Linked DNA regions of Caenorhabditis elegans. The protein of the gene in region 1 interacts with the protein of each later gene in a biochemical or structural test. Each region holds a gene or a part of one and is shown on either strand. Other genes may lie near its edges. The genes, in order: flp-26 and npr-6.

Region 1 (3,003 bases):
TTTATTTGTTTTTTCTTCAGATGTGGTATACATATTTTTGAGACTGACTCAATGAAGTGAGTGTTGAATAAGAAACTTACATTTCCAAATAAAACAAGTAATTTAAACTTATGTTCCAAAGCTTGTAATCAATCACACTGTTCAACCCATGTAGTGTGACTTTTTATCAGTGCATTTTTGTGAGACTTCTGGGGAAAGGGGGAAGTTGACTCGAATACTAAAATGATGCATAATATAATAATACTTACATACAACCAAATAGGAACCAGTGTTTTAATAGAAACTTATGTTCAAATTTCCGGAGAAAAAATCAATTTTTAACTTTTTGCATAAAAATTCGCATCAAAAAATTGTTTTTGAATAATGGAAAATCTAGCTTTTCTGATGAAACAATTTCGCATTCTTCGGAAAATAATTGAAATAAACATCAATTTCAGCTAGATTGTTTTATTCAGTCTGTTCAAATTTCAGAAGGAAAATCTACTATTAATTTTTTACATAAAAATTCGAATGAAAAAAAACTATTTTGGCCGTTGTTTCAAAATTTATGTTTGAATCAGTTATTGGAATGACATTTTTGAATCAGGGTTTGAAAGACATTTTCAATGGTAGTTTGGTTGTTTGAAAAGAAATGGCTTTTCATTTTTTTCAATCTCCTGATATTGCATTAACAAAAAAAACTTTATTAGGCATCGTAACTAAGCGTCGTCCAACCAAGAGAAAAGAAAACGAGAGAGTGGTATACAAAGAGATCATATCATTGTTTTTTCGTCACTGATAAGTTTTTGTCAATAACTACTTTCCAAAGCGGAGTGAAAGCATATCCGGCGAAAAAGCCAACGGTTCACCAGCTCCTCCGCGCTTTCCGAAACGAAGGGTTAAATCGTCGGCGTTAAACTCTCTTTTGTAGGGCTTCGACTCGTAGTAGTTGCGTTTTGTCAATCCACTGTTGAAGTCTTCATTAGCTCCGAAAAACTGTAAAAACTACATGACGCATGATTTTTTGTTGATAGGTTGCGTTTTTTATAACATGTTCAGTTTTGGAAGGGCTATGATACCTGGAATGGAAGTCGGAAGGCACTGGTTGCAACGAGAGAGCTGAAAAGGAGAGCAAGCATGAACATCACCTTCATTGTGAAAACTGTAAGTGTTCTTGACGGGTTACCTTCAAAAATATATTAAAATATAGTTAGACTCAATTTGTTTTAAATTTGGAAGATAAAAACGGGGGGATTAGGGAAACTTGAAATGGTTCCTAGTTTTTCTATTATGTGGCTTCCCAAAATATACATAGTAGGAACCAACGAGGAAGTTTCAACATGTCAAATTTCGTTCCTATTTACATAGGCGATCTAGTATATTTCTCATGATTACTTCCTTGCTCTTAAAAAGGATAAAAATGGGCAAAAGTATAGTTTCAAGGATCTGAAGATATCCCAATTAGATACTTCTCTTTTGTCTTCATACTTTCATAGAGAAATTAATTAAAACATAGGAGGCAATGTGATGTCTGCCGAGAGCTCAGCGCAGCTCGGAAACAAAATAAAGAAGTCGTCGCATTTTACACTTTCGTTTTTTTAGGATAGAAAGAAAATTGTGAGAAAAAGTGAGTAAGTCTGTGTTTTAGGAATTAGGAGTTCACTGGAAAAAAAACAACAACTAATACCAGTGAGATTGCTATTAACTGATTTGGTTTGTTTTCAGGGCAAAGAGGGAAAATATAAAATAGAAATGACGAGGAGTTCATTCCTACAATTGTTTCTCGTGAAGAATTTCAATGATGATCGTATGAAGAGACTAAAGTGTGGAAGGAGGAGCAAGTGGGGGGGGGGGGGGGGATGACGGGGAAATTAGCAGTTTCTATACGAAATATAAATGGAAAAAGTAGGTGGAGCATACCAACCGATCATGACAAACCCCACCGTGCTCCTCCTTTCGGATCCTTTTTCGGCATTCTGTTACCCGGAAATAACAGAAGCTCACGTTGGGCCATAAAACCCGGCGAACAAAAGGTGATGCGTTCCAGGGCTCAAAAATGACGTACGGGTCATAAAATTTTATGTTCATGATGGAAATGGTGAAATCCAAACTGCGCAGTTTCTCACAATAGTGAGCTTCTTGAATCCTGACAAATTGATTGAATGCTCATATATGGTTTCGCAAAGGCCGCCAACTTTTCTTAATTAAAACAAAAAAAATCTTGAAGCTTGACTATGATTCATACGATTGATGAATCATTACAAGTATGATGTGTCTCGTTGCTTAGAAGTATTAATTTAGGTATTGAAATCATCAAAAAATAGTGGGAGAATGTAGATTGGTCACAATAGTCTATTCTATTTGGAAGTGAAATAGGGTCTGTATTATCATCTGGTTATAGCCGTCTATTTGATTACGTGATTGAAAATTGAGTTATCGACTCATGTCATTTTTAGTCGAATATTGAAGTACACTATCACAATCAATGACATGCACTGGAAGGTCAGAGCTAGCAAGTTCAGCCTTTACAAGATTAATATAACATTAGAGTATTAGTGAAGTATACCTAATACTTCCAAATACTTCCAATACTGGGAGAAATGTAGATTGGTCACAATAGTCTATTCTATTTGGAAGTGAAATAGGGTCTGTATTATCATCTGGTTATAGCCGTCTATTTGATTACGTGATTGAAAATTGAATATTGAAGTACACTATCACAATCAATGACATGCACTGGAAGGTCAGAGCTAGCATGTTCAGCCTTTACAAGATTAATATAACATTAGAGTATTAGTGAAGTATACCTAATACTTCCAAATACTTCCAATACTTCCAATACGTTATCAAACCTTTAATGAAAACGTGAAATTTATTTGCATATTTAGGGTTAGAAAAACACCAATCCTAAACTTAATTTGTAAAGGAACACTAAAAATTCAAAATGGTGAATATGCTCGGGCCAGATTATACTACACAATTACCAACATTACCTAACTGCAAGAAAATGCAGGGAGAGAAAAT
Region 2 (5,332 bases), 3.3 Mb from region 1:
ACATGGCCAAGGATGCAGCACTCATCTTAAAAGCTGCCATTTTATCTGTTCTAATCACAGCTCCTATTTTTGATATTCTTCTCAATCTTGTTGGATCTAAATGTCTCTCTCAATACAATCCACAGGTAGCGTTCTCACTCCCATTTTTGAAATGCAATGTGAAACAAATTTTCATTCAGGATGCGCCGGCAATTGAGAAAAATTTTGACAAAACCTATATGAATGGTGATCATGTTGATGAAACCATCTATGCCGCCCGTCCGAAGACATATTCGGAATACCGCAGTGAAGCTGTTATCGAAAGATATTAAAAATTTACCCAAACTTTTTAGATTTTATTACAATTTTCCTCTGAAAAAAAAAACAAAATAATTCCTAATTTCCCATATTTATAATATTATTATCAAGTCAATTCAAATTCAATTTAAATGACCATAACCAGGAAAAGACATTTCACCAATTTTCCAATTCGATTTATTTTACTTATCCACATCTACCAATTTCCCGTTCCAGCATGTTTTTAAATATGTCATTCTGAAATTTCGTCATGATTCTGTTATACCCTTCTTACTTGAACCATATCTGATCTTATCAACCACACCAGTTGAACCAATTTTTTGTAACCAATATGAAATTTCATTTACAAATATTTTATCAAAATGTGACAAGAAGAAGAAACAAAAGATAAATCAGCATCAAGCAAGATTTGTGCAAATACAGCAGTGCATAAGTTAAGTATAACCACATAGTTTAGATCAGGACAGGTTTGATCAGAGATTTAGCTGAAAAAATCTTAGGAAAGAAAAACAATATGACCAAAAAAATAAAATGTTGAATAAGTGTTTTTATGAAAATTACATATGAAGGCAAGTGGAAAGCGGATAAATGTACTGGCAAGTGACATGACTAAAAGCGACTTTTGTTCTGACTTTCCGGTTTTGTATTGAGCGGCTTAAAGCAGAAGCGTCTGACAACTTGATCCGTTCTCAGGCTCATCGAGATACACGATACTGCGCTGCGGCTCCACTGCAGTTTGAAGTGGACTCTCTGAATCTGTTTCTAAAGATTGCTGGTTTGTTGAAAAGTTCACTGACAACGAGTGCATGCAGGGAATGAATGGCTTCCTATTCTTCGTTGGATGTCGGGTGTAAAAGTTCTTAACGAAGAATAACTAAGGATCAAACAACATAAAAGTAAAACTCACCAGAAATCACCGTAACAGGCTGTTCCTCCACTTTTTTTTTTCGGTTTGCACGTCGAAACGGGTTAGTTATCATAGCGGTGCGTTCTAAAAAAAAAGCTAAGCAAAAATAACTTCAAATTTATCAGGTTTTACCAGTGATGACGCGAATTGGACCAGTTCCAGGACGACGCGCAAACAAGCAGGGAACAACTTTTGCGAACTCCTCACTGAAAATGAGCATTGCAAGAAAATGAAAATTAAATAATTCAATTTATTGAATTTAATTTAATTGAATTTAATTGAATTTTGAACTGTGCAAATTTTTTAAATAATCCTAAATTTACCAAAAAGTGTCTTTTTTTTTAGTTTAATCTGTTTCTAATTATAAGAAGAAACAGTGTCACGAGAGGAAATTTTATTGAGTATTTATAAAAAATAAATTTTTAATAAAATAAATGAGAACTGAACACACAAATGCAGTCTAAGATAAAACTTCTTGACTTTTTATCAATTGTATTTTCTAGCACATGTTTACGTATCAAATTTTATAACTTGTATTTTCAACCTGAACGAGAAGAAAACAACCCCTCGTAATCTTTTAACTGCAATTTATTTTCCAATAAATCGTTGAGTCACTAATGATTATCAATTGTTGTCTGTATTGTTTAAAACGGGTTTTCGACCAGACGGCGGCGAAATGCAAATCCCATAAACCCACCGGAAGGTCTCATTCATGAATGCGTAGAGGATTGGATTCCAGGCGGTAGCTGTCATACTCATCAAATGCACGGAAAGGAAAACAAAACTGAAGTAGCCACGCATGAAATTATCCAACTTGAGATCTCGGAGACAGTTTCTGAATTTATTTCAAATATATGACATATTATTCACTTCTAAACTAACAAGAGGTTGAATGGGAACCAGCAAATTGCGAAGATGACCACCATGACAATCAACATCCGTAGTAAACGCTTTTTGCGCTTGATATCGGATTTTCTCTCGGTCATACTTTGACGGCTATTTAGGAACAACCATATTTTTATGTAACTAATGGCAATGAGTACAAATGGCAAAATGAACTGAAAATTGATTTGTGCATAGGCATAGATATATGTATATATAATCCCCCGGTAATTTATACAAATAATTTCATTGTCCCCAACTCACTTGAAGAATCATCACCACAATTCCAAAAATAGATCGAAATTCGGCATTGCTCCAGTCCTCACTACATATCAGAAAATCACATGGTTCATGAATGTAGTTGAGCTTCATGTTGATGGCATACGGAGTGACCAGAAGCAATGAGCATAGCCAAATGAGGACAATGAACGAAAGGCAAGACTGAATTTGGTATGTACGAAAGTTTCAAAAAAATTTTAAAAATTAGAATTTTTTCCAATTACAAAGTTGTTCTACACCGAAAACAGGAAAAACTATTATTTTCATGGAGGTTACTTTGTTAACTGTACTTCAAAAACACCTTTCTATAGACTAAGAAATGAGAGTTTTGGTTTTTTGGAGTTAGGTTTTTTATTGATACATTGTTCCTGCTCAACTTACTCTCATGGACATTCTATCATTTATATTGATATTTGATGAGTTGTGCACGATCACTATGTATCGATCTATGGCTATAGCCGTAAGTGTCCACGTACTGATGAAGATACTTGTACCTGTATAGTTAGATGCTTGATCACTGCTTAACTTCCCGTCTATATGTAAACCAATACCTTGGAACAGGGGTAAACCATGACACAATCCACCTCCGAATATCCAATGTCCTATTGAGGTGTATGTTGGTGTAAGCCACAACGATCTGAATATAAGAACCGGATATATCACTTCCGATTTCAAAAAAAACCCACGTAAAGTTAACCATTATATCAGAAACTGCGAGATTTGTAATAAAAATGTTGGTGATCGTCTGCATTCGCTTGTTCGTCATCACAACGTACACCACCTTAAACACAGTTGTTGGAAAACTGGAGAAATCGAAAATGATATTACTTACCAAAAAATTACCGGAACTAGCAACCAAAAAAACAGCACAATACATAGAAATAAAGAATGGGCGGAAATATTCCATTTCCATGGGGTTCTGAAACGTGTTTTTTTAAAATAAAAATTACTCGGCTTCAGTTAAAATAATTCATAATCAAATAGTTTCAATGAACATTTTTGATTTTTTTTCAAACGTTCACGAACAATTTTGGACACGAAAACTTACGTTTTTGATTTTACATGTACTTTGATATGAAGGTGTTGTTTCATTTAGTATAGAAGACACTGAAGGCACGAGATCATTCGACATCTGAATCAAATATTATCAGAAATTGGGATAAACGAAGAGCTGAAAATATTAGAATCGGGAGATAAATCGAGTACATTTTAAGAATTGTGAACTGGATATGTTTGGTTGCGATGTGTCTCGTTTAGACCTCTTTAAGTTCATAATATTCTGACGTGGGCGCGGTGGAAGAGTCGGAAATGAACTTGATTTTAAGGAGAAAAAACGAGATTTGACACGTTTCATAGAGCAAAAGATGTTAGAAGTATTTTCAAATTTAAAGCTCCCAAAAGAATATAAAATTGAGAATATGTTAAGTCAGTTATGAAAATTTAATGATATTCGCATCTTTGCAATTGACACTAGAAGAGCGACCACATCTAAACTAGAAATCTACATAGTTCATATAATACAAAACTGATGTCATGATTTTTGAAAAAAAAAATCAATAAAAATTACAATATTAATAATACACTATTAAACAGATTCAATAGAACCCAAAGTTTTCAATGATTTTTTAAAAATTGTTTGTTTTCAATTCTTCTTGTCAATCAAATAAAAAAGAGAACATGAGCCAAACACTTCCCTCATTTTCTTATTTTCTCACTTTCTGTGTGAGACTTGCAATTCTAGACGCGAAAAGTGAATCTCAAAGTGAGAAAAGAGGAGGCGTCGTGAACTTTTAAAAGGGAAAGAATCCATATACATGTGAGAAATTTTCTCTTTTTCGAAATAAGCTGAGACCCTTCTTTTTTCCCTTTACGTTAAACAAACTACATACTCATTTATTTAAAATTTGCCTAAAAACTGGTACGCAAACGCACAAAGCGAATCGAGAGTCCTTTGATTTATGTTATGAATTCATCTTCGATGAAGCGAATTTTGAATTTCCTATAAAAAACAGAAAGAAAGGGTCGAAATTCGAAGAAGAAGACGCTTACGTAAGTTCAACAAGCTAGATTCAAATTATTTGGTTTCAATTGAAAATCAGAAATGAAATATGGACGTGGAGAAGAAATAGAAAAAAGATAATGTAAGGAGCCAATGGATTTAATCTCTCTAAATGGTGGGATGTGAAACATTCATGAGATGTAGGCTACTACGAACCAAGGATAATGTTATTATCTTGATTGATAAAGCTCTCATTGTTGCAAAAAAAAGGACTCGCATAGTAGGTGACCTTTTTTAGAACATTTCCTTTTGATAGTTTCGTCTTTGCCCTTGCCCTGTCTATGTATAGGGTTCATCCGTCTATTCTCTATTTTTCGTCTGGAAATCCGACTCCAATACCGCGGAAATTGAATTTCGACCGGGCGATGAGGGGCACCAGAAAAAAGTCGAGAAAAACTGAAGCACTCCTTGAGGTGGAAAAGGAGAAACGTTGCACATGAACTAAAGTAAACAATTCTGAGAGGGCGGATAAGCTTTGGTGAAACTGAGACAACCAAATACAGCTCAAAATTGTAAGGCAAAGGATAGAAATTGGATAATGAGCGTAGGAAAACATTTTTGAAAACAGAAATCAGAATAAATCGAAAATTAATATAAATTTTAGCTCAAGGAGTATACTTGATGACACAACGAAAATTTTAATGAAACGTCACATTTATCAAAATAGATAAGTGAGCACGGTTTGGAGAAAAAATCAGTTGACCGAGAACAAAAAACTCAGACGTTTTTCTTCTAATTCATAATATTTACTAGTCAGATAAAAATTTGATTCGAACGACGAAACTAAAGTGAATCAAATTGGTTGGTGAGTTCTGTGTTCTCCGAAAATGATGATGATATGTTTTCAGCAAAAAGCCTCAAAAACCATGATCAGCTTCACTTATTCACTCATATCTTCGGGAAGAGTT

What was found.
Region 2: the proteins of flp-26 (region 1) and npr-6 interact in a test that uses a peptide from one of them, tested with the Caenorhabditis elegans proteins (one large-scale study listed by BioGRID).

What each region holds. Positions count from the first base shown.
Region 1 is NC_003284.9:7,027,305-7,030,307, reverse strand, and holds flp-26 (GGAGEPLAFSPDMLSLRF-amide), read right to left. Parts: upstream 1,173-3,003; 5' UTR 1,134-1,172; coding exon 1,059-1,133; intron 976-1,058; coding exon 796-975; 3' UTR 668-795; downstream 1-667. UniProt on the Caenorhabditis elegans protein: FMRFamides and FMRFamide-like peptides are neuropeptides.
Region 2 is NC_003284.9:10,282,199-10,287,530, forward strand, and holds npr-6 (G-protein coupled receptors family 1 profile domain-containing protein), read right to left. Parts: upstream 3,537-5,332; 5' UTR 3,498-3,536; coding exon 3,414-3,497; intron 3,285-3,413; coding exon 3,198-3,284; intron 3,147-3,197; coding exon 3,052-3,146; intron 3,003-3,051; coding exon 2,917-3,002; intron 2,860-2,916; coding exon 2,747-2,859; intron 2,528-2,746; coding exon 2,351-2,527; intron 2,263-2,350; coding exon 2,087-2,262; intron 2,040-2,086; coding exon 1,902-2,039; intron 1,411-1,901; coding exon 1,337-1,410; intron 1,289-1,336; coding exon 1,205-1,288; intron 1,048-1,204; coding exon 953-1,047; 3' UTR 621-952; downstream 1-620. Other genes in the region: slc-9B.1 (Cation/H+ exchanger transmembrane domain-containing protein), read left to right, coding at 1-125, 180-311.